2 linked regions of the Neodiprion lecontei genome follow. The protein of the gene in region 1 purifies or fractionates together with the protein of each later gene. This does not show direct contact. Links are inferred from orthologs where the notes say so. Each region holds a gene or a part of one and is shown on either strand. Other genes may lie near its edges.

Evidence for each region.
Region 2: the proteins of potassium voltage-gated channel protein Shaker (region 1) and protein quiver purify together in Drosophila melanogaster (affinity purification with western blotting, with the first as the bait; 3 studies listed by BioGRID). This does not show direct contact. The link is inferred for Neodiprion lecontei from reciprocal best matches to the Drosophila melanogaster genes Sh and qvr.

What each region holds. Positions count from the first base shown.
Region 1 is NC_060266.1:6,596,464-6,607,265, forward strand, and holds the start of potassium voltage-gated channel protein Shaker, read right to left. Parts: upstream 5,555-10,802; 5' UTR 5,364-5,554; coding exon 5,301-5,363; intron 4,275-5,300; coding exon 4,150-4,274; intron 1-4,149.
Region 2 is NC_060261.1:30,870,833-30,883,524, forward strand, and holds protein quiver, read left to right. Parts: upstream 1-4,396; 5' UTR 4,397-4,620; exon of another isoform or gene 4,621-5,661; 5' UTR 5,662-5,992; coding exon 5,993-6,017; intron 6,018-6,137; coding exon 6,138-6,185; intron 6,186-6,457; coding exon 6,458-6,604; intron 6,605-6,927; coding exon 6,928-7,166; 3' UTR 7,167-11,990; downstream 11,991-12,692. Other genes in the region: uncharacterized protein LOC107218843, read right to left, coding at 1,792-1,805, 1,955-2,071, 2,515-3,024, 3,209-3,314; NAD kinase 2, mitochondrial, read left to right, coding at 12,428-12,464.

The sequences.
Region 1 (10,802 bases):
TGGACAGAAAAGTACTTCTGAAATTGAGTTGAAGAAGTATTTTACCGAACTACAATGCAATGCACCGAGCAATGAAAAAGAATAACTCTCCCTTTAATTTCATCCCTTTGAGGAAACACATATTTTATTGCACAACGTGCTAGTGTTTGATATTGAAAATTGAGATCTTTTTCAACTGGATTCCCTTTCAGTGTTTCCAAATATTTTACATAGCTAGCGACGACTATAAAGCTGTCAAATTTTTACGTCGAAACTTTTACCTGGCGTGAGCTAGGAAAAAATTGATAATCTGCAGGGATGAGGCGGTATTTGTGGCTCGGCCTAGTCTGGCCTGTACTTACTTTTCTCGCCTCACCTTGCCTTGTCTAACCTTGTCTAACCTAGCCAAGCCTAGGCAAGAGGTTAACCAATCGTTAATCTTGTTAGACAACCTCCAGCGAATCTATACTTTACCTGCCACATTTCTTATCCAATAAACTAATGAAAGATCTTGGTCAGATTATGTTACAATTTTTATACCAAGAATTTTTCAACCCATATCCGCGTAGCTTACTGGATGAGTAACTCAGTGTTCTAGTAAATTTTAACGAGTCGATAAACTTCAAGATTTCATTTCAATAACAAGAAAACGCCAGAATTATATGGGAATTCCCTTGATAGAATCAAAATACGTTTCACTCGGTCATCCGATATATGAATATTTGAAATGAGTCGAGTGGTGAAAAACGAAAAAAAAAAATAAAAAATAACATGCAGTAACGACCAGCCAAACGAAATTGGGGGAATTAGGTCAACTACGAAAGCTTCCTTCTCATCTTCTCCCTACGCTACCCTTTATTCCGTGAATTAGTCTGTGATCAGGGATAGCAAAAAAAGTAGATCGATGCTCGAACGCTAAGGATTAAATACACTTCTCGTATCACAAGAAATTTTCCCTGGAACAATATTGTGAAGTCGCGTCTACGTTACCGAAAATTTGTAGTTTCAGCTGAAATATTTCTGTAATATTTTTCAAAGATGGAAGAAAAAAGCATTGCAAATATCACTGTAGTATCCTGACTATCCTCGTCTGACAGCAAAATTCGTTTTGAAATTTTCGGACAGTTGATCTGTCCAACAATTTTTGATCAAGATATTGTTATATGAGAAAGATATGGAAGAAATGGATGGTCTAGAATGAAGAGTGCTGATTGTGAGAGAAACGGTGAGCGTTGGCAGCTGTGATTCAAGAGAATGTGGGAGGAAAAAAGAACGACAAATCATGCGCAATTTGTCGTGTTTTACATATTCTTGTAAAGGATATGATGCGTGTAGACGAACGAGTCGGTAAACTGAAAATAAAATTCACTCTGTTTTTTAAAACAATAAATCAATAGAAATTCCAGCAAGCCCAATTGGGATTAATTCGAGGATTTGGAAAAAAGATTGAACTATGTTCTGCAACCTTAAACGTTAAGGTACCGACTGACCCATTCAGGAAACCACCATCTGTGGCTATCTCAGTCGGAAAAAGGAGGAAAAAATTATTCAGTGCAAGGTAAACTAGAATTCTTTGCTTGGATAGAAAGAACTTTTCCCACTGCTCGCGATGTTCCTTGCCAGTTGCTTAATGCGAAACAGAATTTGCAGTACGTGCAATATTACTGCTGATACAGCTAAGGGTTTTCTGAATTCTTGTGAATACAGAAACTACATTTTTGTGTACCCTACCAGAAAGCCTCTCTTCTTTGTTTCTCTGCGTTTGATATCTCAACCCAACCAAAGAGCATCGCAGCCCAAGGTATTCAGAAATTCGTTGAACTCGTGCTTGAATAAAAATTACCAAACTGATGGTACAATTTACGTAAAGTACCGCACCTCAAAAAATGAATATCTTTGATCAACAATGCGAAAAAAGAATCCTGTGGCAGCAGAAAGATGCAGTTCAAAGAAATCGGTAGGTATTAGGTAAGTGTACCAGTTATTGACACGCTGAGACCCAATTATTGACCCTTTTATTTTCCAAGATTATAAATTTACGGCACAAATTGTGAATTCCTCGATAACTAAAACCAATTGCTAGAGAGTTATACAGTAGAAATTTATTTTTTGATAATTTTAGAAGTAAGCATCGAACAGATACAACCAAAAAGGGTCAATAATTGGGACAGGCTCAATAACTGGTACACTTACCTTATAAGAGAAAATTATAATTCCTTGGCCGGATGTGCGGTAGAGAAATATTTTGCTCCTGGAAAAATTGATCTTTCCTCAAAATCTTAGTCACAGCCAGTCGTCGACTATACCAATCGAATTGGTTCCAAAGATATAGCGACCGACGCAGACCGTATGCGGGATAATCTATGGCGTTTTCTACCCCCGCACAGTAGGTTAGCATCGATTTCCCGCCTCCCCACTCTTCCGCTCTTCCACCCCCCAGCCCCTCGTCCCATTGGTATCTAGGCAAGCCGGCGTGCTTTCCACCCCTTCGCCCACGGTTACAACCGTCCGCCCGAATCGGTCCTGCAGCCAGAATGCGTCAGCGAGCGGATTTCTTAGTAATTCGGCTTTACTGCACCGTGGCGCCATCCGGCGGAGGGTTGACGAACAATCTGCCGAGTCGTCGAAGCTTTTTGTTAGGGAAAGCTTTGCTGCAACGGCATGGGCAGAGAGCTTTAACAATCAGGCAGCTGTGTTACCAACTTGGGAACGGTGGCTGAAGGATGGAGGGATGCTTAAGAGCTTGAGCTTGTCGACTCTAGAGGGTAAGATGTGTTGGCGCTGAAGAAAGTTATACGTGTACCGATAGCACGAGAGCGAAGATGGGTTAAGCACGTTTTAAAGGGCATGCTCTTCCTCCACCCGGAGTGCGCAAGCTTTTACTCGCCTCTCCTTAGCTCTGTTTTGTCATCTATTTTACTTTTCCTTCTTCTCGAAGAATTTTCACTGCAGTCTTTTCACTGGCTGAACGGGATTCAACCGTTGAAGTGAAAAGTGATAAGTACTATCGATGAGTCGTCGAACCGTCGTTTTCTTATATTATTTCGAATACCTAAAATATTCGTATTTTACACTTCAACGGCGGGGAAAAATTTCACCCTCTTTGCTCGTTTTACATTATATAAAGAGGGATGATTATAGACCCGACCAGTTTATATAACTACCTTTCTACACGAAGTGTCGACTGCGTATTAGAAGCTGAATTTTTGCCGTCCGATCAATGGTGTGAATATTACTCGGCACAAGATTAGTTGGGTATTATAAAATAACAACTTGTAATACGTTCCGTGGCCACGTGGAAACGGACGAAAGAGAAGTTCTATGGAATCACTATGTATATTTAGAAGACCCTGAATATTAATCGATGCATTTCAGTTCTTGACTAACATTTCTGACCCAGTGCTTCGTCGTAAGATTTTCAAAAACTCCGATATATATCTATTTAAATCCGTATCACGTATCTCCGTGCATTTAAAAAGTTTCGATTATCTTCAAAAGCTACAGAGCTACCAAAAATGATCCGACGTTATACTTGTTCAAGGTCGTTTCTTTCTCAGAAGCTTAATAAACCTATGTCGAAAAATTGAGTATAATATCGAACAACATTCATTCCAGCACAAAATCGCGAACCGACTTATCTACAAGGTCACGCTGAGTTGTAACAATTATCAAAGACCAAATTATGACTTGTGAAAGAATCACAAAGCAGATTCCGAGTTGATGTCTTAATATTTTCAAATATGTATTCGGTCGCGATGCACGTCAGGGTGCAAAAAAGAATGGTTTAAAAAGGGGATTGTTCGATTGTTTGCAAAACATTTCGTATCCTTCCTTGAATCGATACCTTGAAGTAATCTCAATCAGCGCTCCAGAAACTTGTTCGCTCTCGTCGTCAGTGTTTCGGCGTCAAGTTCAGTCGAGTACAATCATGAGGTACCACTCGACAGCCTGTTCGAAAGATCAAGGGCTCGTGGTTGCGGAGGCCTTGATGGGTGAGTTAAGCTGTACGCTACAGAATAACGTTCGTGGTGTGAATGAAAGGGAGTAAGCTCGTCGACACAGCTACTCAAGGCAAGAGGTAAAGGTGACTAACAATGAAGTAGCAGAGTATCTATAAGAAGGTGGAGCTAATTGTGAGACTTCTTTGAGACGTTTTAACTACTGTATCACCGTTTCTTTCGTCGTTGAAACGGTTTCCCGGCTCCGTGCCCCGGGAACAGCATCCAGATAAAGAACAACCCGATGATCCAATCCAGCATCTCGATGAGTGACCGTTGAAGCTTCGCCAACGGGAGCTGCCAAGCAAGTTTATGCATCATGTCAATTTCGACAACCACTGGCTGCTGCTGTTTGTACGTCAACTACCCCTCGGGCCGCCATTAATCACACCGTAACGGTAATTCACCATCGTCTTGACATTTGACACTGGAATTAGCCGCGCTTAGCTCAGCAGCTCCCATGGCTACGCTGTTCAACCCAAGCCCCGAGATCTAGGGACATGCGAACTAGTCCTGGAAATTACCAGCCGTTCTGCACTCGGGCTGAACTGGCGGTCAAGTCTCTCCGATGGTAGATCGTCCAGTCACGGCTGAAGGCCAATGATATTTAGCACAATTTTCTCCCAAGTCACATATACCGATCTACGTACATGTGTATACATATTCTCTACTACAGAAACTGTTTCGCATGACAGTATTAGGTACAATTTGTTATCAAACTTTCCACAAGTTCCTCCGTTGGATGACTTTTATCGAGAGCTTCACTCTGCACAGAAACTTCCCGACAACAGAGCTTGAAAGTTTCTACACGGTAAACGGGGATACGTTACCAGTTGAAAAATTTTCTCTAGCGCGACGGTACAAGGCACTGTGGGTATACACGACTAAACGAGGTATCGTCATGAACAAAGAGAATCAATGGAGAAGACGGCCCCGAGGATTGGTTGTACGTACATGAGAATATACATATAACAAGTTTAGGATCACTGAAACGATTCGTATGTAAAATTATTGGAAACAAATTATAGAGACAGATGCTTGAGCATGAACACGGCGTCCGGTAAAAAATCTGTAACAACTTTAAGGACATTTCCAGGACATTTTCAGATTATTCAAGCACATTAAAAACAGAATATTTTCAGAACACAAGATAAATTCAAGGACATTTCCAGGACCAGTGTGCACCATAATGAAAGAATATTGATTCAAATAGTACAAATCGTCGAAATGATCCTTGACAAGTATATATACTTTGAAGAAGAATAAATTGCACAGTCGACAACAAATGATAACAATGTGTTATAGTTTCGTGTCAACACTCACATGAGAATGCAGCCAATGATGAGAACGGTAAGGAGAATCGTGTACGGTATGCAAACGTCGCATACGCCGAAAAGCTTCAAAGCTACATTAGCACATATGAGAAAAAGCACAAAATCCAAAAAGGAACCTCCCTCAACACCCATATCATCCGGTCATTTTCGATTATCACATCCGAACTCCTCCTCTAATGCGGACGTACGGTGTATAATCCAATGTCCACAACACACTGAACCCAAAATGAGCTACCGTCCCCCAGCCAAGCCCACGAACCACTGATCAGTCTTTGCCTGAACACATGTCGTCACACACGTATGTACCTATAATGTAACGTCGTTTAACGTGTATGTCCAGTGCCGTACCGATTAGCAGCCGACAAAATTTCTACCGTCACTGTTTACCCAATCACCTGGATCGTGAAATATCCGTCACTTTGTATCCCCGTTGGCAAATTTGAAGAAGCGAGTGAAGTGCAATGTTTAAACGGCAGATGAGCACGTTATCAGTCACTTGGTACCGAACTATTCATCCCAAATCTCCGTTTTTTCCTTCTTCTTCTTCTTGTCGAACTTTGAAATTACTTGGAATTCTTTCGAAACTTACGCATTTTCAAACAAAGCAAGGGTGAAGCTTCTTGAACTGAACGCGAAGAGTTTTCAGACATTTTTGTAAGTCATGGATTTTACGCGGCGTGTCGTTAGCAAAACTAACATGCAAACCACTGCCGGTTCTGAGCGCAAAGTAAATCAGATTTAGAAGGCCAGGGAAACATGAAACGGCGAAAACAGCCCTGCGAGGTGAAACACTGCGTATGTTTATCACACAGGAATACTTCAAAGGTTTCCTAAACCCCACGACTGTGCAACAAGGGACGACAAGCATTGCTTAAGAAGGGGTTGGCATTGGCTAGATTGTGGTAGGTTGAGTTGGACTAGGTCTTGAGGTTGGAGTTGCTCACCTCGTGTAGGAGTGTATAATTATGCAACTTCAATCAGACACGCCGTGCTCGATATTGATAGTGTGAAATCTGCGATGGCATGTTCGGAACGAAGGGAATTTTTATTTTTCGTCACTCTGACTGACGTATCGTGAGAAGCTGAGCAGTCACCATAACTTGTTGCAGTGCAATCTTTGGATCGATATGTGTTACGGATAATTCAATTGAACTAGTCTATGAACTAAAATGTTTTGATGTCGATACTGGTGAAATTTTGACGCAGGATTGCAAAATTCGTTTTGGATTTTCGACGTCAAATGTCGAGTAGAGATGAGAGAGAGAGCATGTCAAATTGGATTAAGTTAGCTCGAAAGTTTAGTTCAATTTGTTCTCAAGCAGCCACCTTGTTACTCGCTTAACGTGATATCGGTGAAAAGCATGAAGGTATAGTTTCTATCCCGAGTCCTCTTTTCATCCTCGCCCTCCAGTTATACACTGATTGTAACCAACTCCAGCTATTTCAACTTTGTGCCAAGGCAATAAAGTTGCCAAGTTAGATTATTGGTGTCGACGAACAACGATGAATCAGTAGATAACGGTGATAAATGAAAGCGGTTGGTGATATTAATTTCCATTCAAGGTGATAGCGTATGCCGATAAATAGTGTCTGGATAGTTTGCCGACAGAATATCATCCGCGCGACAATGAGCTTAACGAGCTTAAAATTCACGTTCTCAGAGTCACAAAAATGCGACTCGCGTTTTTTAGGTCAAACATAGTAAACGAGAGTGTTTTTCTACTTTGAAAAAATACTATGACAAATCCAGACCAATTAATCCCAATCAGCATCACTCTGTGAAGGGTTACATTTTGATATTAGTCAAGTGACAGGTGCGCATGATTTTTCTGATTGAAATGTTCAATGCGTTAGTCTGGCTCATTTTATTCATAAATAAAGACTACATACTATGAATATACTTCATTAATTCAACAGAATAATTGAGCTTTTGTGAAAGAGTGACTATAAATGAGACATCCTTCTTTGTTCATTTAATTAATTGGCCCTCAGACACCACCCCAAGTACCTAACAAATAAGGTGCACTGGTAAAATATTGATTCAACCATCGCTGATTTTTAGGCATTGCGATAATTTTTTATGTTTCCGTTGCTAACGTGTCTGCAAAGTTGCGTCGTAACCAGATCGCGTTTTTGAGAGAAGCTATACAAAATAACTGTCGTGTTACCCGAAACACGTGCGTATGTATATAATGCCACAGCTTATTTAATGTAGTTGTACGGTATACTTGAGACATCAATTATATTTTGCATATGCCGCAGGTCTGGAAAATGGTCTCACTCAATTTTCTCAATAATTTTCCCAATTACATTGGAAGAAATGAGTATGGTAAAAATCTGTCCTCTATCTTCACTGAAAGTCAAGATTAGCCGTGAAAAATGTCATCGTGACTGCAAATATGGTCAAAACTATTATATTTTTGGTAAGTTTAACCATAAATCCAGATTGCGGTACTACAAACGTTACATGATATTTTTCTCTCAGTGTATTCGATGTCAAAAGGTATTATGTAGTACAAGCACAACTAATGACGAATGCAGACAAAAGTTTCACCTTCGAAAATAAGCCTTAGTTACTAAGTTGCATGCAAATGTAATTCATGATCGATATCAGCTGGTCCGGACTGAACCTGTTACGTCGCTAACATCGCAGATGTACACAAATAACAAATAATAAACACGTCGTACTAAAGGCAAACAAAGAAACAACACCACCACAAGATCCATTCATCATGAAAAATTCACCACTACCAGAGATTAAAACAGAAATTCATATTTTCTCTTTACCTCGTACAACACACCAGAAGTCACGCACACTTCCAATGGCGTTTTTACCTCCCAATAAAACCGACCATGTTTTTGCCTCCAGCTAATACTAACGATTGTACAAAATTGATATTCCAAATCCTCTACCAGGTCATTTAACATAGAGGAATCCAGTGTGGTCAAAGTTGGAGCACTATTCAGCAGAAAACTCGTCAACCACTCAATTTGTAGATCTTTTGGAAGTATTGTGACGCATTCACGCTTTTACAAGTGTTCGAGACACACCTTGATCATTGTTTAGTACTGATTCGCTGTACCGTATTAATCGACAGTGACAGCTGGTGGTGCTGATCATAGCATGAGTAGGTACGGTGTGAATATTTATGTAAATAATACTACAAATGTATCCTTGAATGATTATTCACGGTTACCAAAGTGTTTCGAAGTGTTTGACGGTAACTCTTTTAAAAAAATCTTGATATACCTTACAATATTCCCTTGTTCGCAATCACATCGCCTAGCTGTAACTTATTCTCCTTTCCTTTCTAGAAGGCTTTGGCGGTGTAAGAAGACGCCCAGGGAGACCATGTGAAATCGATAGTGACTCTCTACCTCTCACAGCAACCCCTTGCCGCACCGATCCAGCCTCTTAATTACTCTGATGGCAGCTACTGATACGATTAATTCTAGCGATAAGAAGGAAACCTGCTGACTGGACTCGTTACCTCAAGATTCTACCGCTGATCCGGACGCCAACTAAGATTCTCTATTCACCTAGCGAGATCATGGAGATAAATTGTTACTCTTAGTACCCAAGTATGCAATTCTCACGTCTTCGATACGAAAATGCTCCTACTTAACACTTTACGAAACAATCGGTGTCTTGAAACGTTTATTTTCATTGCGACTACCATAATTGCGAAGTCCATGATAATGACAAATTATGCTTCGGAATGTGATTCACATTGGCGTGCGACACGGAGAAAATGAAATCCAAGAGATGAGTGGATTTTATTTGAATATTTGAGCAGTTGTTTGAATTCGTGGCTGGGCATATTTAGTCAAGTAATAAATGTTCTTTATACAAAATTAATTACGCGTATTTTTGGTCAACAAGGATTTCGAAGAGCAAAGATGATCATTCTTGTACTTTTCTGACCGGCTTTCGTGTTTGAATTCGATTTCAATATGTTTCGATGTTTTCTTTAAAGCATAGGACATTGATGTTAAGCATCCCGAAAAGGGCTCAGAGATCTAAATACTTCAGAATGGTCCGAAAAATGATAAAGTTTTATCATATTCTTTAGCAATTTAACATCGATCATCGATCAGATCACAGAAACCTGTACTACATTTGCGTTTTCGAAACAATTACAAAGCGTGACTTCGTGTCATCTGACCTGTTTTATTTTTCCGAAAGCTACAATTACTTAACGAACTATCAGTCTACAGAACGTGAAAACTAGACTCGTATAAGGCAGTTGTGTAGTTATAAAAAAACTAGGTCACCGAGCATTTGACATTGAGTATACACCTGTGCCTATACTCATAAAAAGTTCTTGCCCCGAAGTAGACAAACATTATTTTGAAACGTTGTCGGATGAAAATCATTTCTCCGACTACGGCCTAATTCGTATTATCCAAAATACTCACCGAACCGCAAGTGAGGTGTGTGAAATTATGGAAATAAGCACCCCTCAGAATTTAAGTATTACTCCTGAGCAATATCGGTGCACCACAAATCATGTCGAACAAAACCGGTGAACCTCTTCGGCAAAGGTAAGAATAACTCACGTAATCGATGAATGGGACTCAAATAATGAATTGACAAAAGATGTTCAATTTCTTATTTGCCTTTCGCACGCACACACATTCACACATAAAACCGACTCTGCATTATTCCATCGTGATCCACTCACTCCAACGTTTCGAAAACCGCTTTCCAACTCTCGCGAAATGTTAACAGTGCTTGTGCTGCGACGTCGATCGATTGTTGGATTCCTCTGCTGTTATGACCCGACTAGCACGTAGCTCAACTGTTTTTAATCTTAATTATTCACGTTAACTGGCACATCACGCGTTGTTTACTGTACCAATTTTTTTTTTTTTTTTAATTTGTTTTCGTTACTATGCATCATAATTATGGTGTTATTGGCGCTAATGATGGCTTGTATAGTGTTTGCGACCGTATTCGAATACCATTCATTGGAATAAGGACTGTTAATTGCTGTGACTCTTAGTTTATAGATGGTAAATCGATTACAGACAGCGTGTCTTCGATACATATTTATTGTAACGCATATCGCTTCAAAGCATTAAGATTTCCGAGAAAATATCATTTTCTTCAACAAGGTTACAGTGCACTGAAGGTACGGTAAGATTCGAGTTGTTCTTCGATCTTCTAGTTTCTTTTTCTTATTTTTTTTCTAATAAATAATTGTAAGAGAATCAGCATACCTATAGATGTCGCGAATAGAGTCACGAATAGCATGTAAACGAGGGTGATTCGCTTATCTATCTATTATACATATATTGTAGGTACCTGTACTACATAGCAGTATATATACCTACATTTGCGTGAACGATAACCTCCCTCAATGCTATAGATCACTTCAACCTTTACGATGAGGGATGCTGTCGGAAGACAATTTATCATCTTGAATAAAGTAAGATACCGACAATGTGTTTACGTCACTTTCATATTTATGACCGTTGTTATTAATGT
Region 2 (12,692 bases), on another chromosome or scaffold:
TATCATCGCCTTCTGCAGAGTAAGAATCCTCGTCAGGCAAACGATCTTCTTCGTCCGAAAATGCCTCGTACAAAGCCTCTTCGTATCCATTATTATCGATCCAGGCTTCGAATATTTGTTTACTCCGGGGATAGTAAGACATCTAATAGACATGCGTTTACAGTGATTATTGCGGTGAAAAAAAATATTTTCATGCACAAAATGTTACTCACAATGAAAGAAAAGAAAGTCCACGTAGAAGTGTTGAAAAAAAATTTGCTCCAATTTTCACTCAAACCACTATAAGTTACACACAGGTGACAGATTGACCCCAAGCTCACTTTGAACTGCTCTAATTCGCAGCTGACGCACGACTGATCTTGCCTATCTGTTTGAATACAAAGTTTGAACCCTCAATTGAAGGTAGATGGTGGGGCAGGTCAAAATTCCAGCGGGAACAGTTTGAAAATTTCGAGTGTAAATGGTACGGGGTTAAAGTTTTCTCTGTATAACAAATATACGACATATAGTATAGTTTAAAATTTCGCAGATACCTATCAAATTAAAATCATTTCCAAATTTGATCAGACGAATATTTCCCCAATCGATAAGTAAACCTGCTATTATTAAAAATGGCACGAACATTTCTCTTTCAACTAGAAAATATCGAAAACTACTATAATCGGAAGAATATATGTGCTTACCGGATTTTTTTTCTAGTTGTACATAATAATATTGACAGTATATAAACAAGGTACAATTATTTACTATTTTGTTAATCGCTTTGCAAAGCCTGACATTTTTTTTTCTCATTGTTGTGTAGTGAATTAGTGAAACTTTGATATTTTGAGACTTGTCAGATTTTTCTTCAACTCCAATTACATTCACTACGACGACTTCCGTACGACATTAGTTTTCACTTTCCATCACCCTCGTTGATGTAAGGAAAGTATTGGTTTTGGTCGAAATTCACTCTTTCTAATTTCAACGAATCTTTACGTTTTCGGACCTCTAGTAATCCGACAAACAGGTTTTTAAAAAAATGTCTTTCCGGATGTCCATTTGTCGGTTTGTCCGACAAACTCCCGCGGTGATCTCGGGATCTGGCAATATTTTTCCCCGCAGCTTTATAATGCAATGTTCGTTATTGATATTTATTAAGATTGGATACGTGAACGAGAAAAAGTAAAGTATAAAAGAAAAATAAAAGCGGAAACTAAGCCGTAGTGAATAAATTCCCGTTAGCCTGGTACTTAGGGCAAATACCTCTAGAACATACCTGAGTCCCGTCAAAATCCATTTGTAACATGTTTGAGGGTCCAGTTGTCAGGAGAATAGAATTGTTATAAATTATTCATCACTTCAATGACGTTAGTTGTACTGGAATTGAAACTAATATTATTCACCTCGATACTGAGTGTTCATACCGGCAATTCTATTTAATTTGTAACTCAAGATACACAAGTTTTTCCTGTATTAATAATTATTCTCCATACCATGTTAATCGTGTGCAATTATTGGCCGTCAGATTAAAGCAAAATCAGGAATGATACAACGCGACAAAACGTTTTTCGCTTATGTTTTTTTCATTCTATATTTTTTCAAGAATAACGCTGCAGCCACAAAATTCTTTCTCATTATATCATTCGGTGTAGCACCATTACACCGACCACAACCTAATCATCTGAACGGTTTCATACGTTCATACTTAGCACGATGAACTTGAAAAAATAATGAGAGTCCATACGTCTCCCAAATCGTAGACTAATAACTTCCGGTTCCCGTGGCTCTTATACTGGTTTGCCCATTGTACTAGCGACTTGAGCCTGAAATAAAAAATAATTAGTCAGAGGAAATGAGCTTGAAGTACTTTCATATACCGCTTGCTGGTTTATACTTTTTTTCGATTTTCCGAATAGAACAAGATCACCACGACACGTAGTTTATATTTCACAATACAGATGCTGCAACTTACCTGCCGGAAATATGCCACCCGGTATCAAGCCTACTTGCTTGTGATATTCCTCATCCGACAACGGATACTTGAGCCATTCCTTCAGAGATTCCGGTGGTGGACGGGTTCCGGGGTTGTCTGGAAACGAATATCTCAAAATGATCATGAATGTTTGTGGCAGACGCAGGCGAATAATTCACTCACTGTTAACGCTACGAACAACGGTAGGAAAAATTGAATCTAATCACATGTTTTCTTTCTTAGAAGTGGTTGTATGTGTACTATGTGTGGTATAGTTTCTACACATGGAAGTGGAATGCTATTCATATGGTCTCACACTTATCCGGATACTAAGTATCTAAAGTCTGAGTAAAGTCAAATAACGTGAAATTGTTAACAAAGATGCAAAAGCTTAAAGTGAGCAGTACTTTGGGATATGGTCGACTACATTGGCTTTAAATATCTCCTTTGACTTCACTTTCTGCTAGTAATGAGTAAGAAATAAGTCGCTATGTGTGATACTAGGGATTGTAGACATGGACGCCACTATCTTCACCGTATATATATATTTGTCATCCTACCGATAATTCCAGGATTATTGGGATCGAACAATTGTCTCCTGTCGATGGCGTCACGGAATTCATCGCTTGGCATTCGGCGAACGAAGAATGGTGGTTTGGGATGAACAGGTGCTGGGAAAAGCGGGGGAACAATTTTTTCCGGTGGAGGCTCCGTAGGGGTGTCAGTTTGTCGTTCGAAATGGTTCTGCTCGTTTCTATTGAGGGAACTCAGCCGCTGGGTCATGGCACGCGGCCGCTGTGACTGATCTAAGCGATACCGTTCAAAGTCATGCGGTGACATTCGGCCAAAGATAGAATGTGTACCGAGAGAGCGGGACTCAGGTTCGTGAGTTTTCTTGGATGTCTTTTCTGAGTCTTGCGTATGGGGTTCCATCTGCGTTTGCGATTTCGATGGTACCAGGTATTGGCGAGCCAAGGATCGGTCCGGAGATGGTTCGACGAGCGGTGAAAATTGACGCATACGATCCCCATGATCCGAAATCTGTTTCACCCAGTTGAGCCGGGATTCCACTAATGAAAAGGATCATAGATTGGAAGACCGCAAAGTTATGAGAAAATCTTTAAAATCACATTGCGTGTAATAATCTTTTGCCAATCATGGAGAAGTTACGATATTGTGTCGTAGGATTTTTTTTAAAGAAGTTACACTCGCTTGTAGAGAAATGGTTTTTCTTTGTTATTAATTTTCTCGTACCGTATTTCAATGCGCCGCTCTTGACTCCAATCAGCAAGCATCCGTTTGAAATAAAGAGCATCAGCACAGCTTGCTGCAAGTGAAGATAGCGAACCCAATGAGCCATTTTTTCAGAGTTACACCTGTACAGAAAAATGTCATTAGTATATATGTAATATATATATACAGTTATATACATACGGTGATTCGGTATTGCGAAGGAAAAAAAAATCACGATAAAAAGGTAAAAAATGTACGTATAAATATCATTTTAACCCAGTATTCCGGCTACCACCGTACTTCTATGTGGCACAACGGTGTACGCAAGCTGTGGCGATAGTAAAACATAGAAACATTATAACCAAGTAAAGCTGTGATCTAAGGTGGGGGAGATTTCGCTTAAGATTTATACGAGTCTGATGGAAATTGTTATTGAAAAGCGTTTGATTAACCGGTAAGTAATTACATTACAAGTGAAAGATTGTTCTTTGGTTTTGTTGATTTCATGGCATGAAATAGGAATAAGTAATACGGAGCCTAGTTATGAAATATCCATTGTTCTGTTACCATGCTGATTACAACAAATAATTGATCAGCTATTAACCTGGCTATATCATCGTGGTCCAGTTTTGGAAATTCTTGTTGTAAAATCAATACCAAGTTTCATAACACATGGTAATTAATTGAATGGTCCATCGATTGATTTTGCAGGTATAGATTCAATTGCTCGAAAAGCGCAGATTATACGGATGTTTCAAACATTATCAATGTTAAAAATTGACTATTTTTCCGTCAAGTTTATTTAATGTTATAACACTGCGAAGAATCCGATAACAATTCTGATCGTGACTGATGATTTCGTTAAAATGATCTTCAATTGTTTCAACACCTTTTTGCGGAGAAATCGTCAGAAGAATATTTTGTCTATTTGCAAACAAGTTACAATAATCATACTGGTTATTTGTTAAAAATATGTACTTGATGTAAATGAATTGAAAATTATGGAAAAATAAAAATAACGATGAAATGTATAAAGCATGCTGATTTTTTCCATAAATTTACCACTGCGCTTACGTTGTGCATTGTGATTACGTGTATAACGTATACAGCAATGCGATATTCAAACTTGACGCAGGACCCCGTAGCCATTTTACGCTTGCGCGAAGCTTTCTTTGTAACGCAGAGTATCTGAGCTTTCCTCCGCGGTGCCGCTGCAGTAGAATATATTGATCCGCCATCGCAAGTTCTACTTTCAAACCTTGATATGCCTGCCTTTCGACGTTTACCTGCATTTTCGAAGTGAATCATTACGTTCCTCGATTTTCATAAGTCGTGATGCGGTGTGCGGTTTTTTCAAACGATAATAACAATGCGCAATAACAATAACAACAATAATAATAATAAATATAATAAACATAATACCGATCAAATATGTGGGTGACGTGCCATTCATTTTAAAATAAATATGTATATTCATACCTCAAATATCTCCGTTGCGTACATACGTATATACAAGCGCATCGATTGACAATAATTTTTCAATAATATTTCATTACCAATATCCAATCCTGATATTTGATAGCCCAGTGGGAATTGGAAGAAAATGAATCTCAGCATGCGCAATTATTTTGTATCCTAATACAGGGATAGTCATTTTTTAATTGTGAAAATACTTTATCGAATCAGCGAATAACAATTTCGCGTATAATTGGCCTGCGCGATTTAACTTGATTCAGAACTAATATGGGTTTGATACCGGTTTTTCTTTTTTCTAGTTTACCTTCACAGAGTGACAATCAATTCCTTGAGAGACTTACCGATAATGTGAAATACTGCAATCGCGTTGTCGCGCTTTGTAATTAGCTAATTTAAATATATGTTGATTGAATGAATAAAATTGATTGAACTTGTATTATATTTTGACTTAATATTTTTGACTTAATTTATAAATGTTATATCTAGAGATTATTACGACTAGCAATGAGTGGATCAATGCGTCAAAAACTATTCAATTATTGAATTAAATATTGATTTAATAGGGAGAAATGAAAAAATTAAGAAATAGCGAACTGCTAAGGATTTCATTAATTCAGATTCGGGTTGAAGACGGACTAAAATAGTCACGCTGACCAATTCAATAATGATAAGAAATAAATATTCGTAAATTATTCCACTGCTTATGAGTAATACATATCACAAGATTTTGCGTAACAAGGGAAGCCTTAATTTACGCTAATACCATTTTCTGGAATTATTGCATTACTTGGTGTGGCCTAGATAGTCTTAAAGTAAAAAACACAGTGTCGTAGCTGGTACATATAATAATATAAAGAAGAATTGGTGTATTTACTTTGTAATCCAGTTAGAATTCTCTGTTTCCGTTCTGCAGTTTGACGCAGTTTGTCCTATTCGAAATTACTCTGTATGTTAATCAAAATTTTTTCCGCCATTTCGCATCAATTTTCCTTATATAGGTGCTCAAAGAAGGGTAAAACGCCGATGCATGAATGAGTGGGAAGCATAGCTCCGATAATCCACTCCAAAAAATACGAAACGTGTTCACAAATTGAAAGATTTAATAATTTCGAGGAACAATACAATTACTATAAACCGGAATCGCATGCAAAAAAAAAAAAAAAAATATAAAAAAATTATTACCATATACGTAAGTCGTAAAGAAAGTGCCATGAATCATGGTGTTACAATGGTGCGATAGTCCATTTTAAGACTTAGAATTACGCAAAGGACCATGATGAATGAAATGAGTACACCAATCGATAAGTGCAGTAATTAATCGCGTGCAGAATGGGGTCTGATTATCTGATAGCTGGTGAGTTTCTTTTTTTTTTTCGCGTTAAGGTCGCAATTCTCATTTAAATTTAGAATTTCATCTCGAGAAGAAACAACCGGGTCAACGCTTCTCAAAGGGTTTACCATTCGCATTTTTCAGCCGCTATTTTACTCGCTACCATCAACGCCAGTTACGCAGAATGTCAGAGTAAGTGATCGTTAAATTGCATAGCTGCGCAAATTTTTATAATTAGAATAATATTTCCATGTCCATTTTCACACTTATGAAGATTCGTAAGAATGCAGATTCGGTGACGTTGGTAGAAATTTTTTCAACGATTGGTTTAAGGTTTCTTAGAATTGAAAAAAACTAGTTGCATGGAATATGAAAATACTTGTGGTAAAATGAATATTCCCTCTTCGGAGAGACATAGAACATTGATACGTGTTAAAACCCTTGCCTCGAACTTACGTCAACAGCAAGGTCCGTCTACTGCTACCAGTGCGATTCGTGGACGGATCTTAGGTGCAAGGATCCCTTTAATTACACCGCCCTGCCCCGTGATCAACCACCTCTAATGACGTGCAACGGATGCTGCGTCAAGATGGTCCGCAATGCCAAGTCACGTGAGCATTATACAGCAGTAATATAATTGTTTAAACGAGAAATAAAATGTGTCTAACAATAAATGACGATAAATGCGCCGTGCACATCGATACACCGGGAGAGTTTTCTGTGAAACTCACCGTTCGACGCCAGCAGTTAGGCAACCAAAGTTACATTCCGTATTCCTTGCGGGCAGGCACGTGATTGGAATGTGACTTCGGTTGCCTATCGGCAGGCGTTGACCGTTGAGTTTCACAGAAAACTCTCCCGGTATAACGCAAGAAGAAACGGTTGCGCGGAGTGCAAAAATTTCACGTGAAACATTTGACACTTGTGTTTTCAGCTTACGAAAGCGTGAGGAGAACCTGTACGTCGCAACTACAGATAAACTTGTTTATGGTGGACCACGTGTGCATGATGGAAAGTACCGGCACTGGTCACATGTGCTTCTGTGAGGAGGATATGTGCAATCGAGTCGGGATCTCCTCCCTCCCGTCACCCATTCTCCATGCAATCCTCGTACCTGTTGTTACACTGTCCATCCTAAGATCAGCTCCAGGCTTGCTTATTAGGTCGCTGTGATGATGAACCATATACCTATAGTGACACTCATATATACTTATTTACTTACTTACTTCCTTCCTTACTTCCTTACTTGTTTACTTACTCGTTATTTATATTATACCACATGAAACTTCACCCAGTAGTAAAGCAAACGCGGAGCCCTGTAGTGAAATTGTAGAACCAATGCAAGGGCTTGCTTGAAATTTTAGAGAATATAGGTATGTGAACGTTAATTGAAGAGATGAGATGAGATGAAATGCGGAATGAAACGTCACGAAGCTTTTAATGCAATACGAGATTAGATTTGAATTGAAACAATGTATAATACGACGGTCTTCACTACGCATTGGCCGTCGTTTTACCAATTGCACTCCATACCACATTCATCGTTCGTGCGAATATAAAATCTGACGAATCATATTATTGTTTGATAACTGAGCGGAATGAGGGCTATTCGTTACACGAGGAACCATACAGTGATCATATCTTATACGACGAAATCCTTAAATGTAGATGTAGAGAATTTTTCCTCAAATTATTATTATAAAAAAAAATTTTAGTCTTAGATTCAAATTCGACATATCAGTCTTCGATATGCTATATTGCTAGGTATGCGGTAATTGTAATAATCAGCAGAAATGCGCCGTAGTGAACTTGGATCTTTCTATTACAATTTTTCAAGTTCCACGTTGCAAATCGTTTCCCGGCATACAATGTGCCGTGGATTAAAATTTGTTCGTCAATTGAAACGATGAATAACTGGAACGATAATGGATCAAGTTATCCTTCATAAGATGTATTCGTCAAGGTTTTACACAAGTTTTATATAGACTTTGTAGATTTTGTTTTTATTTTTATATTCTTATTTGGGTTAGTTTTTATTTTTTAATTAGTTATTCCTTAACTTAGTTTATCTTCTTTCGTCTTATATTCATTTTATAACTACACAGAGGCACACATTCTGCTATAAACAAGAAAACCGGGCAGCATGATATTTCGCAAGATGTTTGCAAGGCTAACGTAATAATTTTCTCTTCTACAAAAAAGCAACAAAACTATTTCGACTTTGATTACTAAAAACAGCATCAATCTACAGACTATACATATGGACAGCCTATGATTGTAAAATTACACGTAGTGTCTGTACTGAATTGACTTTTTATTTTGGTTTGCATCCTATTATTTTTAACACAATTGTATAAGGATACTAGAGTAGCAAAATAGAATGTGGAATGAAATACTCGATTGGTCTTGAGTAACTTGCTGTCAGTTTTCGACATAGAATGAAAATAGAATATCTTTTGATACGTGTGAAATAAGGCAAAGACAAAAATTGACTAAAGCGTATAAACAAGATAATTAGCGAAAAATACTCTGAAAAAAGAATCGTTTCGTAGTTAAAAGCTACATACAAAAGACCGATCAGACAACATTTTACATAATTTAATCCAATCTACGTAGGTGTAGGTATGTTTTACTCGAATAACGAGCATTCACATGTAGCACAAGTAGATGAAATGCTGCATACTAATAATAGGCGTAACTACACGCGCGAGTTATGAGCATGACCACATATTATAATAGGTATACACGATTGACGAAAATATTTCCAGATTTCGCAATTATGTGCATCAATAATAATGATAATAGTAATAATGAATATTAAATAAATATTGACAATGATAATAATCAAGATAGGAATAATATGATAATCAAGTGAGTATGAATATTTTTAACGATAAATAGAATAATAATTGAAGGATGTCAAAACTATTAAAAGTGGCAACGGTACTGTATATAATTTTTGGAAATATTTTTGCCAGTAGAAAACACGTAGATAGAAGTATAAAAATAATAGATAGTGATATTGGCAATATGTTATGATAATATGTGCGGGAATGACAGTGTACAATTGAGACGTTTCTTAAGTTGAATAACGTTTGGCATAATCTACAGACTTCCGTCAGTCTGCATGTGTACGTATATCACATGTAATATTAATTTTTGCGGGGTAGCGTTTAAAATGCTCACCTAAATCCTAATTTTTTACATTAGAACTGAACAGTTTTTCTTCGACGAAACGAGAAAATGCTTCGTTATTTTTACTATACATTTTGCAATGCATATAAACGGCATGCGATAGGTTCAAATGACGTTCTCTAACACCTTTGAGCATTTAGTTGATGGTGCTACCATTATTTGAGCCAGTGGTTTTACAGTATTCAGGTCATTATGACCTAATCATTAATCCATGACGATTATTATAAAAACAATTCGATTTACCCAACAATTCAAAACACCCAAAATTCGTTCTGGTTTAATTGACTTGAGATAATAGGTTGAAATGAAACACACGCCGTAACTTTAATTTTCATTGTTATTGAGAAATTTTTATCATCATTTGGTAAGTACCAGGTATGAATATGAATTTCACAATTGCTTTTCTCTATGTTGTCGTACAGTGAATGTGTAACGTGAAATTGAGTAAAATGAAAATGGAAGATGCTTTTACACTGCATGAAACTGCAAGACTATATATGCAATTATATACTATTTCACCAACTATTTCTTCTATAATTCTATCGTCTCCACGTCTAAACTACTTGTCTGAAAAAATATGAACAAGCTTTTACAATTATGAAGCTTTTTTTTTAAATAGATGGGAAAATTAATTGCGCACATCTTTCCATATGTGTCGCATTATATTAACTGATGATTGAGCCAGCGTTACTGACAAGCGTTTGTTATAATAGAAAAGCAAAAAAAAAAAAAATTAAAAAATAAAAAAAAAAAAAAACTCGAACGAACTTTTGTCCATTACATTTAAAATTAACTATAACAATACTAAAGCTCAATTTTCTTGGGCAAGTAGACTATATCCACCTTTCCACCCTTATATGAAAGCAAGTAAGCACTACGTGGGCCTTCAGCTTAAATATCGCAAGTCTTGGGGTGAATTATGCAAGTTATGTATAAGTGATAGTGGCTTTAAGAGACCAAGGATCGATTTTCTAAGCTGAACGCCCATTTCCTCACAGAAAGGCTTTGTACTCGAGCCTTTTGCCAAATTAATTTCGCAGCTTGTATATAATACTATACGAAAAGTTGAGCGAGATTTCTCTGGCAAGCCATGCAGCTCGTGTCGTGTCATTTATTCATTATAGCACGCGCGACTGCGGGGTCATATCGACGTTTTATCGTTTATACAAAAACATTTCTTTTTTGTGCTCACAACTAATCGAACCCTTCGCAAGTTTCCAAAATTGATCAAAGATCAATAATGATAGGTACGTCGAAATCAACCCTGAGTGACGGTGTCGAATAGTATATACGTAATAAAAAAGATATATCAACGGCCTATTTTGTCAATGATAGAAAAATTCTCTTCTATTTATTTTGAAACTGGCCTCGCAGTCGAATTATATCCACTACAAAACGAGCGTAACACAACGTCAACTACCGAAACTCAATTTAGTGTTATATTATTTTTCGAGTTTTATTCTTACATGTATATGTATTTTTGAATCGTCTACTGCGAGAGAAAAATATTGCATCGTTCTGTTGTACACGATTCATACCAATTACAGACCGTTTAAAGCTAATTTATTATTGTTAAATATGTACGTGGACCGTATGTATGTAAAATATTTTATCTGCAATTTTCAACGTATTATACATACATACACATATAGCGGGTATTTTATATGTGTTGCACCCATGATATAATTATTAACCAACATGCAAAAGTCATGATACATCATCTCTGTAATATGATACTGATGTATCGTATATTATCATTACATTGCCAACACTTTGGGGAAAAATTAATTTCCTTAATTTTCTTTACTTTTTCATTCTTTGTTTCATTTTGGGTGAAAAAAAGTAATCACGAATAACATCTCAAATCGTGTTTGGTTAATGATTTTTTACCAACGTTTGATTACCGCTTACATGTGAATATTTTCTTTTGAGATAGTAATATTTCTGTTTCAAATATCAAATGTAAATATAATAAGTTTATATCAATGGTGACGTAGGGGCACAGAAATTGTTGAAGACTTCGCTACTTTGATTGATAAAAAAATTTTATCAATCTACCAAGGTGGAAAGTATGATCGTTAAGTGAATCGTAATTAACTCTTTTTCTTTGCGATGTTGTCCTCAAGGCTGTTGCCGCTACATTTAACATAAGCGAGTAAATTGGCTCAAAATGTACACATATACATGCAGATACACAGGTATAGGTATATGTATATGTACACGAATCGTTACTACGAGATTACATCTCAATACTTACATATTACATAATATGATAAAAGTTGATAGATTAAGTATATATCAATTAATATCGTTTTTTTCGCGAAGAAGGACGTTGTATCTATAATATTAAGATGTTTTCGACAAATGCAAAATTGGGTATATGAAGAGAAAAAGAAGTAGAATTATTATTTTTTCTTGTTGCATCGCTTAATACGATCAATGGCGTTTTCAATCGTTTAAAAATATTAAGTTACTACATAAAAACAGTCATACACGTATAGGTACAATATGTAGGATGAATATTATACGTACACACGTTTATACGACGGTGCGTGAAATACCATTAAATTTTAAGAAGTGCATACTGCAAAACATATGTGATTATAAGAGAATTATAATATTGTTACGTTAATAATGGCGTTGAGAGAAGGAAAAAAATTATCATTGTAACTCGTACGTAAACACATCGATAAAAGACATCTCATGTTATACATAAGGATTCAAAAATAAAACTTATATTGACAAAATTGATGATAAAATAATCCATGGCAAATCGTTAATAAAAAGTGCTAGAGCAAGTAATACGGTCTATTTTCATTCTAGCTTAATGTATATCCTTTTACAGGTGATGCGAAGTAATGCAGTAATTCATCTTGTAAGGGATATTAAAAGTTTAAAAATATGCTAATGGCAGTAAGGGTCGTACGGTAAACTCCAATAGTAGCCGAATAACAGATTATTGAGCTTTAAGAATAGATTTTTGTTTATAAAAAATACCACCAGGAAGTTTACTTTCGTTTTTATCCAGTAGAGTCCCTATAAACTTTAACAACCACGAATATTTCCTACAAGAAAGTCCGTCTACATAACGTGTTAACCAAGGCGTAAGCGCTGTGTGCAATTGCTGCGCGTGGCCAATATCCAGACTCCAGAGGTTATAAATGTTTTATGAAATAATCTAATCAAGTTACAAGCACGTAATCGAAGATTGATGTGCTCAATAATTTTTTACGTGTAAAATGACAGCGCTTGCTCTATTGCATAGGAAAGTAAGCAGTGAGTAAAAACCCTTAACATTATATATAAATTACGAGAACCTAACCGTATTATAAGATTATGATCGCAATTGTCATTGCCAAAGCAGACGGCACTCAAGAATCGCAACAGTTTACCGGAGGGCGTGAGGAAGGGTGGGAGGGAGGGAGGGATCAGCCGTTTTGTTAAGTCACAAACAACGTAGATGATACACAGACAAGCTTCTCGAATACAAATGTAAGACATGGC